2 linked regions of the Schizosaccharomyces pombe genome follow. The gene in region 1 interacts genetically with each later gene. Each region holds a gene or a part of one and is shown on either strand. Other genes may lie near its edges.

Region 1 (3,948 bases):
TATTTGGCAGCAAGAAATATTTTGACGTTATTAATGACAGCAACGTTGAAAACAAGGAAGAGACTAAGGATAGGAACTTAGATCGTGCTTTATCTAAGTTTACCCAATCCAGAGAGAAAAATGAGCAGAATCTTTCAAGTAAAGCGTCAGTTTTAAGAAACAAAAAGTCAATCTTGTTAAAGAAAAGAAATCAAGATGAAACTCAACTGACTACTGAGGAGGATTTTTCTGCCAATAATGATTCTACCGCAAAAATAGAGACCAGTATCCACGACCACAGAGATATTTCTAGAATAACACCTTTTGAACTTCCTTTTGTTAATCCAAAGCTGTTTGCTAGCTTTACTCCAATGTCGGTAGCTCTACCAGCTGGACGATTACTACTAATTAAACAGTTGCAAGAGAAATCTACCCAATCATCTTCTATGACAGGTCTCAAATAAAACCAGCTTATTGCCAAAAGTAGATAATACATTCATCTACTCATATTTTTGTCTCATACTAGCATAAAAAGTATAAATTAATTATGATTTTCAATCTTACTTTTACCATTGTATTTTAGTCACATTTGTCTGTAAGGAAAAATAGCGTTGGTGTAAAGCGAGGTAACATATTTAAATGTTACGTCGTTAATTTTTTTACGTAGGCGATGGAAGGCGTGTAAATCATTTGAGCATTGAGGAATCCGCAGTAAGTACAGGAAACTTCCACTGCATATTATTTACTCAACTTAGCTACCTGGGGAATACACATTGTTTGTTTTAAAATTTATCGATTTCAGAATTACATTGAATTAATTTTTTTTTTTTTCAATCAGGTCCGTTTCTGCTTCTGGGATTGTATATTCTATCTTCATAAAACCAACGAGGAATTCGTGTGAACTATTTATAGTGCTGCGTGTAAGCTAAAAAAGATATTATAATACTTTATAATGGCATTTCGTAAAGAAGAACTCAGTCAAACACTCTATGAGAATGAATCTGAGCAATCATCCGAAACCAAGGAACTAATGTTAAATAATGAAGAGAGTTTAAGCGATTGGCGAAATTACTTTGATGAAAAGTTAACAATTCCTGGTGAAAGTGGGGCTTTGAATGGGACTATCAATGGGTACTTAACACTTCCACAACCAGATGGTTGCTTACTTGTTTTGCAACACGGTGCTGGCTCAAGTGCCATGTCATTTGCACCGGTTACACAAGAGCTCTTGAGTAATTCAGATAATAAGGTTGGTTTTTTAGCGTTGGACCTTCGAGCTCATGGAGAAACAACGTTAGAACCCGAATCAGATATGAGCTTGGAAACATTATCTAAGGACTTTACTCACGCAGTCTCCTATGTTCAACGTATGTTTGAGCTTGATGAAAAAATCATTTTGGTCGGACATAGCTTAGGAGGTGCCATTTGTGCTTACTGTGCTTTTCAAAAAACTATTCCCAATACTTCTGGACTTGTTGTCATTGATGTGGTTGAAGGGACTGCGATGGAAGCATTGGGTTTTATGAAAACGTACCTCTCTAATCGTCCTACTAGCTTTAAATCAATTGATGATGCAATTTCTTGGCATATCAAGACTTTAGTTACTAGAAACAGATTATCGGCCTGTATTACAGTTCCTTCACTTCTCGTTCAGCAGGAAGATGGCACATTCGTTTGGCGAACCGATCTTTACAAAACATCGCCGTATTGGATGGACTGGTTTAAGGGTTTAAGTGACAAATTCCTAAGAGCACCATATGGAAGGATGCTTATTGTCGCTGGTACCGATCGTCTAGATAAAACGTTAACAATTGGACAAATGCAAGGAAAATATCAACTTGAGATTCTTCCTGAAACTGGTCATTTTGTTCATGAAGATGTTCCCGCTAAGATTTCCTCTCTACTTTTAAATTTTTGGCATCGCAATCAACCTTTGGTTTTACCTCCCAAAGTTGGTGCTACTCCTGTTCTACAGTAATCTTAATGATTTAACGAACTTTATTATACACTAAGAAAAATGCGTTATATAGTGGAGTATGTATGGTCATATAACGTTGTGCTGTGCAGGTTGCGTAGGCATCGATATCAAAGGCACCGCTTTCATAGTACCTATAAGTACGTTGCATTCGCATATATGATTGTATCTTTATTTATCATTACCCTTGATTAAAAAATAATTTATTTTATTGAAACTTCTCTTTTAAACACTCGAATTTTTGTGCCTTCATGTCTGTGATAACTCAGGCTCAGGAAATACCTACTGTAGCAGCCAATCCCGATTTCAATTATGAAGGAGATCCTATTATTATTCAATTATGCGATCGTGACACAGTATTTGAATTGAGTAGAGATCAGCTTTTAGGCCTCCCGGAATCCATCTTGATGTGTTTATTTCCTAGAGGCCTGTTGTTGGATTATGAGATTCAAGAATGCCAACTGACTCAAAGGCCATTAATATTTCAAACAGCTGACTTTGATCCTTCATTACTTCAGTACATATTAAATTATTTTCAAATGGCCGAAAATCGTACCGCTAATGATGAAATTGCATTATCACCACCTCCACCTTCTTTTCCTGGAAAATGTGGTATAATTCTGTTAAAAGAAGACATTGAGTTTTTTATCCTCCCACCCATTTCACCAACCACCAATATTGCCATTGAAGTTAGTCCGAACGATTTGCTTAAACTAAAACAACGTGTAGCCCAACGATTGCTGCAACAAAAGAAGATCTTTGATTGTTTACATCTCGAAAACTCCACCTCAGAAGGTTCCGCTGAAAAGAACCTTGTACGCATGCTTTGCTACAGCGGATTTCACGAAGATGACGAATGGAAACGGCGAATACAAGAACCACATCGCGCTTGTATTACTTCAGTCACTTTGACCAACCTAGATTTTAGTGCAGATCAGGGCCCTGTCTCTGATCCTGAATATTTTCCTGTTTATCACAAGTTGCTCCTCTTTTGGCAGAAACCAGCTCGGAAGTGTTGGTGGGATTCTTCTACCAGTATCACCTACAATGGGATCGAGTTTGCAACTTGGGTAAGAAGAGTTTGGACGTTGGAACTTGCTGTATTAGGCGCTAATACGTACGAGACTGCAGCGGTTTAAGTACAGGGTATGTTTCAAAGTTTAAAAGCATTTTTTCTCTTTTGTGTTTTTGTTGTTTTTGTTGTTTTTGTTATTCCTCTTTATTTTTAAATGAGCAAGAATTATTTTTGCGCAGCAATTACCTACTTAATCCTTGATTTGTAATTGCTTAAATTAGATTTGTACTCCTCCTACGAGTTTTATTATTTCTTGATCCTCTCTGAAATTTTTTTTATTATTTTATTGAACAACGTTCAGTATTACTTGTCACTATTTCCCTTAATACACAAAATTATTATATTAATTTACAAAATGTTTTAGTTGTCAGCAGCATACATGGGTGAAGTAGAAGACTAGATAAAAAGAAGAAAGGGAATTAGTTCAGTTTGAGTTCCGTAACCCTGGATGATTAGTAACATGATAGAATTGCTGCACACTTACCTTAAAATAGTATACGTTTGTTTATGTTTCATTACACGATCATGACGATGACGACGCTTGTGTTTTACTCGAACACTTAATGCGCTTTTAGGGAATGATAATACAACCGCTTCAATCGTAAACAATGAAGGGTCTACATACGGGTTACCAAAGAGAGTAAAATCTCTTGAGCCGAAGGAAGCGATTTTATCAAGTCGTATCGTATCACCAACCTGGACACCTTTCAAGTGAAAAGGCAATCCTAGTTGATCTCCTTTGGCTATAACAAAATGACGATTAAATATATACGCATCAGCATAGTGGTCAGGTTGTTGTTTTATTGAATCTATAACCTTTTGATTTACCACGCCAGAATGGGCCTTTTCGCGAATCAAATTAAGAGCTGAACCGGCCTTGAAAAATTCTATCTGGTCTTTACTCATTGTGTGTTTGCAA
Region 2 (4,464 bases), on another chromosome or scaffold:
CAAATTCTCTGGTCTCCATCGTTTTGCTCTTGCTTTCATATAACGATAATTTGCGTAGGACATTGTATATGTTTCCCTTTGGGAGATTTCAAAAGGGATAACAGTCCTTCCAAAGTTCCTTCTCCTTTGAACCCAGAAGGAGAGAAATATATATATTTATGATATATATTTATTCAATAATTCCTTTTTCCTAAAAGGAGTTAATTGTAGATCACAAGAGTTCAGTTATTGTAAGCTACGCAGTTTGGTATCTGATTTAAGGATACGTAGAACTGCGGTGAGTTTTCCTTGTGATCTATTATATTACGATACACAGGTTGTATAAGTAGCAACTGAGTATAGGTATTGTATTAACTGGGTTATAATGTTACCTATCACTAATATAGCTCATAACTGAACTGAGGAACGAGGTTCAGCAGTAGCTCTATTTATAGTATTCAGATAATATTGATCTTAATAGATTATCATTAAGATCAATCTCCATATCGTATCATACATGGTACGATATATAATTAGAACATGTGACATATAGTGATACTCAACGTAGTGTATTATAGCGTAGTGTAGTATTGCTGACATAAAATAAAATTGAAGAGACAAATTCATTTACCATTATTATGATCAGGAAATTGTTCCTTACCAATAATATTTGCTGTTTTGATTGAGCTTCTTTCTGGATTTCTGGAAGACTTAAAAAACAAGGAATCCTTTAGCATACTTAGTTCACTATTACAAATACAATTAGAATAAGAACCGAGCTCAATAGTTGGTTTATTATTGGCAAGGGGTTCAATTCAAAAATAGTATTTTCTAAAGCTTAATAATCGATTAGGAAAAAGCTGTTGCCTAAATAACATTAATTTGTAATAAAATGAAATCTAGAGAGGAGAGAACAAGATTGATTACCTGTTAGTAGCTATAAAAGTATCACAAACTTTACAGTTGAACAATAAATGAAGGATCGAATTTAAAAAACTAAGAAACAAGCTTTTCCTAGATCTGATAAAATAAAAAACTAAAAAAAAGAAAGAAAGACAATAGAACCATAGAACATTAAATGTAAAGACATAGTTGGCACATTAGAAAAACAAGCTGCAGGACAGTTCCACGACAGAAAATATTTGATTATAAAACGGATGCTTAGCAATAGTATTAAATAAAAACTATGATTAGGAAGAAACGCACATAACTGTAGGTGATACCTTAGAGAGAAAAAAAAAGTTAAAGGATCAAGTCAGGTTTATTGTTTGCTGAATGAAATTAAATTTGTGAAAAGATAAAAAGATGAAACATCATAATATCATCAAGCAGTTATCAAGTCGAATGAATTAGACCAGTATATGGCAAGTTCGTTCCCATCCGGTTTTGAACTGTGGCTAATGCAATAGTCAGGGTCAAACAGGGGAGAGTCGGCGAAACACATTTCAGAAGATTCTTCACTAGGAAGGAAGTCCCAAGTTGAAGCAAAGGCTTCTGTTGGGATAAAAATGATGTGAGGGTTATTCTTCACAAAAACTTTCCCGTCATCGATATAAGTGTTGACAAAGAATTCTTGCTCACGAATTGTAATAGACTCTCGGTTTTCTGCAAACAACGCTTCAGCTGCATCAAGACCATGATAGGGCCTTTTAGAAAGGATTTTTAATAAAACTTCCGACTTGCAAAGTTCGTTAATGAGAGAGAGAACAAACGGATGCTTAGGAGTAGCAATCATAAAGTCATACTGTAGGGACTTTGGGGCCATAAAAATCGGTTGGAACTCCTCAACAGTCGAAGATGTGATATTTTCTGTAAATTGTTTTACGGATAACTCCGCCGCATAAACAAATTTATCAATATTTTTTTTAAGCTGTAAAGAACGAGACATCCAAACACCGCCATACTCATACAATCCCAATAAAAATCCCCACTGATCTTTAGCTTCACGCGATAACTGAGACCAGGCATTATGAAGATTATGATATGATTTGTCAACTAATTCGTTTAAATCATCATGTGACCAACTAACAAAAGCCCAATTTGGGTGGCTTACGCGAAGTTCGACTTCAAATGCCGTGAATTGAGACAATTCAATGAAATTAGATCCCTTAATGGTATGAAATACCCTTGGAATTCTTCGATTCCATTGTCTCGCAACTCTATTCATACCCGTATCACGGTTATATGTGTAAAATAAGTGAGCAGAAATCGGTGGATCCAAACCGAACGTTGTACATTTGCGCGATTGCTCCAAATCATCCATGCACATTGCTTTTCTGTATATATCGATAGTAACGGTCTTAGATAGTTCCAATTCTTTTTCGCCCAATTCTTCAACGGTAAATAAGTTGGTTCTTTTATAGAAATTGATGCCTCCAAGTTGAATGGGACTGTATATTGCAAATAGAGCAGCGAAAGCAAATACCACTATTATTGATGGGATTAAAAGCCTTAATAATTTCTGGCTGAAAAAATTTACCCAGAGTTTAGTCATTTTTCCTCCTTTTTTCTGCTTATTTCACGTCGAATTCAATTTAATTTATACAGTATATTATAAGTGCAAATGAGCTTTAATGCATTTAAGGCGCAATTATTTCCACAGATTTTAAATAATTTAATAAGCGCCTGAGTTAGGAATTACAGATGAGTAGATAAAGGATTGTGAAACCAAACCGCACACTTCTTTGTCAGTATGGTTCGTACTAGAGTAGTGTGTTCAAAATGTCACAAAAACCGCGTCTTTGTGATTACAACTACGCTGCGTTTCATTATACTATTTTGCAAACTTATATTTGCAAATCACTATGTCATGGTTTTCCTAGGAAATGAGCAGGGCTTGCAATCAATGATTACAAATTGAAACTTTTACCGACCCATTTATTTTCTTATGAACGACCATCTTTTTAATCGAGGTTTAGATTCTCTTTTATAGTGTAGACATCCCAAAATATACCAAGTATGAACTTTGAAACTTCAGATTTTATAACGCATTCTCTTTGCACTACTGTAGATTATCTGATGCGTAGATATAAGATACTCAGTACATAGTAAGTATGTAAACAAAGCATCAAGAAAATACGAATTGGTTTTAAATGCTTTTATTTGTTGATTTATCCCTACTCAAAGCATCTATGGATTATCTGTTTTCTATAGTTCCTACAAATTCTATAATATTGTGCATTACATACAGTATTTTTTTTTTTATTTTTTAGATTCCAGCTATGTCCTACCCTATGACCGTGTGTGTAATTCTGAGGTTATCGTAGTCATTTAAGAACTCAGTTTATGTGTGTATGACTCAAATTCAGTTACTCTAAAAATGCAACTATGTAATGATTCCAACTAAATTTCTTATAACTTGTCAATTGCCTGCTATTGTAAGGATCGATTTATTCACTCAGTGATTCAGCTCAAAATCATTTTCAATAGGTATTTGAAAAAATTGAAGCAATAGTTAAACTTTATTAAATATTTAAAAAATATGTAAATAAAATAAAATTAGCCAGCATATGCTAGAATATCTTGTTTAAAAAAAATTTAATTAAAAAATTATTACAACAAATTTAAAAAAAAAAAAATATTGGAAAAAATTGAAACAGTAAATGGCACAAATTACTTTATTGCTAAACAAAGAAATATCCCGTGCAGCATCATTTTAAGGAATACATCATTATCTCTTTAAAAAAGCACTATTTCGAATCTTAAACACTTATCCTTCTTTATACCGTATATCGTAAAACAATTTCAAAGAAATTCAGCATTGATTCTTTATTCTATTTAATCATTGACATGAGTTTGATTTCGCATTGCTGGAAGATAAATACTTGAAGGTAATACAAAATTCGACTCGATCAATTCCTGAATGCAATCTTATTTTCTCACCTAATTTTTGTATACACTAGTTTCAATCTTTTTACTGTTTTTAGGCCTTTGTGAAGTGCTGCTAGAGCTCTTTTTGAAGAAACTATTATACAGTCAAAAAATACTAGCATTTGAATTAATTTGGGTCTATGCGTATACTAAATATCAGCTCCTAGTGTATCACTTGTCTTATTCTACCATTCTATTTTTAACCAATAAACGACTTAAACTACTGATTAGGAATTTTTACTAAGATATTAAATTAATCATATTAATCATGAAGAAAGCAATTATCCAAAACCAAGCTTAGTTTTCGATATACATACACCACTAACGTACGTCAAGGCACCGTCTGTGTCACTGTATTCTCCACTTGCTGGTTTCCCTGCTGTATTCTCAATGAATTAAAGAATTATATTCGTTTTCGATTACTAACGTTTACTGACAGCAGTCCTAAAATATACAAATTATTACTAACGTTGATCGCTAAACATACATACACGTCTTCTGAAGCAAGATGCTGCGCAAAGGGATTTGTAGGCTAATTCATCAAGTTTCAGAATCTTCTAAAAAACCTTATTTCCTTACAACACCTATTTTCTATGTCAATGCTGCACCTCATCT

What was found. Genes that interact genetically often act in the same process or in processes that back each other up.
Region 2: mutations in SPOM_SPBP4H10.16C (region 1) and pvg2 together harm fitness less than expected from each alone (positive genetic interaction), as found in Schizosaccharomyces pombe (one large-scale study listed by BioGRID).

What each region holds. Positions count from the first base shown.
Region 1 is NC_003423.3:2,905,382-2,909,329, reverse strand, and holds SPOM_SPBP4H10.16C (phosphatase activator), read left to right. Parts: upstream 1-2,090; 5' UTR 2,091-2,205; coding exon 2,206-3,093; 3' UTR 3,094-3,368; downstream 3,369-3,948. Other genes in the region: SPOM_SPBP4H10.18C (uncharacterized protein), read left to right, coding at 1-443; SPOM_SPBP4H10.17C (carboxyl methyl esterase), read left to right, coding at 932-1,957; aco2 (aconitase/ribosomal domain-containing protein), read right to left, coding at 3,449-3,473, 3,514-3,948.
Region 2 is NC_003424.3:4,018,091-4,022,554, reverse strand, and holds pvg2 (Golgi 4,6-pyruvylated galactose (PvGal) residue biosynthesis protein Pvg2), read right to left. Parts: upstream 2,681-4,464; 5' UTR 2,474-2,680; coding exon 1,304-2,473; 3' UTR 501-1,303; downstream 1-500. Other genes in the region: Tf2-6 (retrotransposable element/transposon Tf2-type), read right to left, coding at 1-63; msm1 (methionine--tRNA (Met) ligase), read left to right, coding at 4,358-4,464. UniProt on the Schizosaccharomyces pombe protein: Involved in cell wall biogenesis. Has a role in the addition of Gal-beta1,3 moeities to galactomannans and their subsequent pyruvylation. Has a role in meiosis.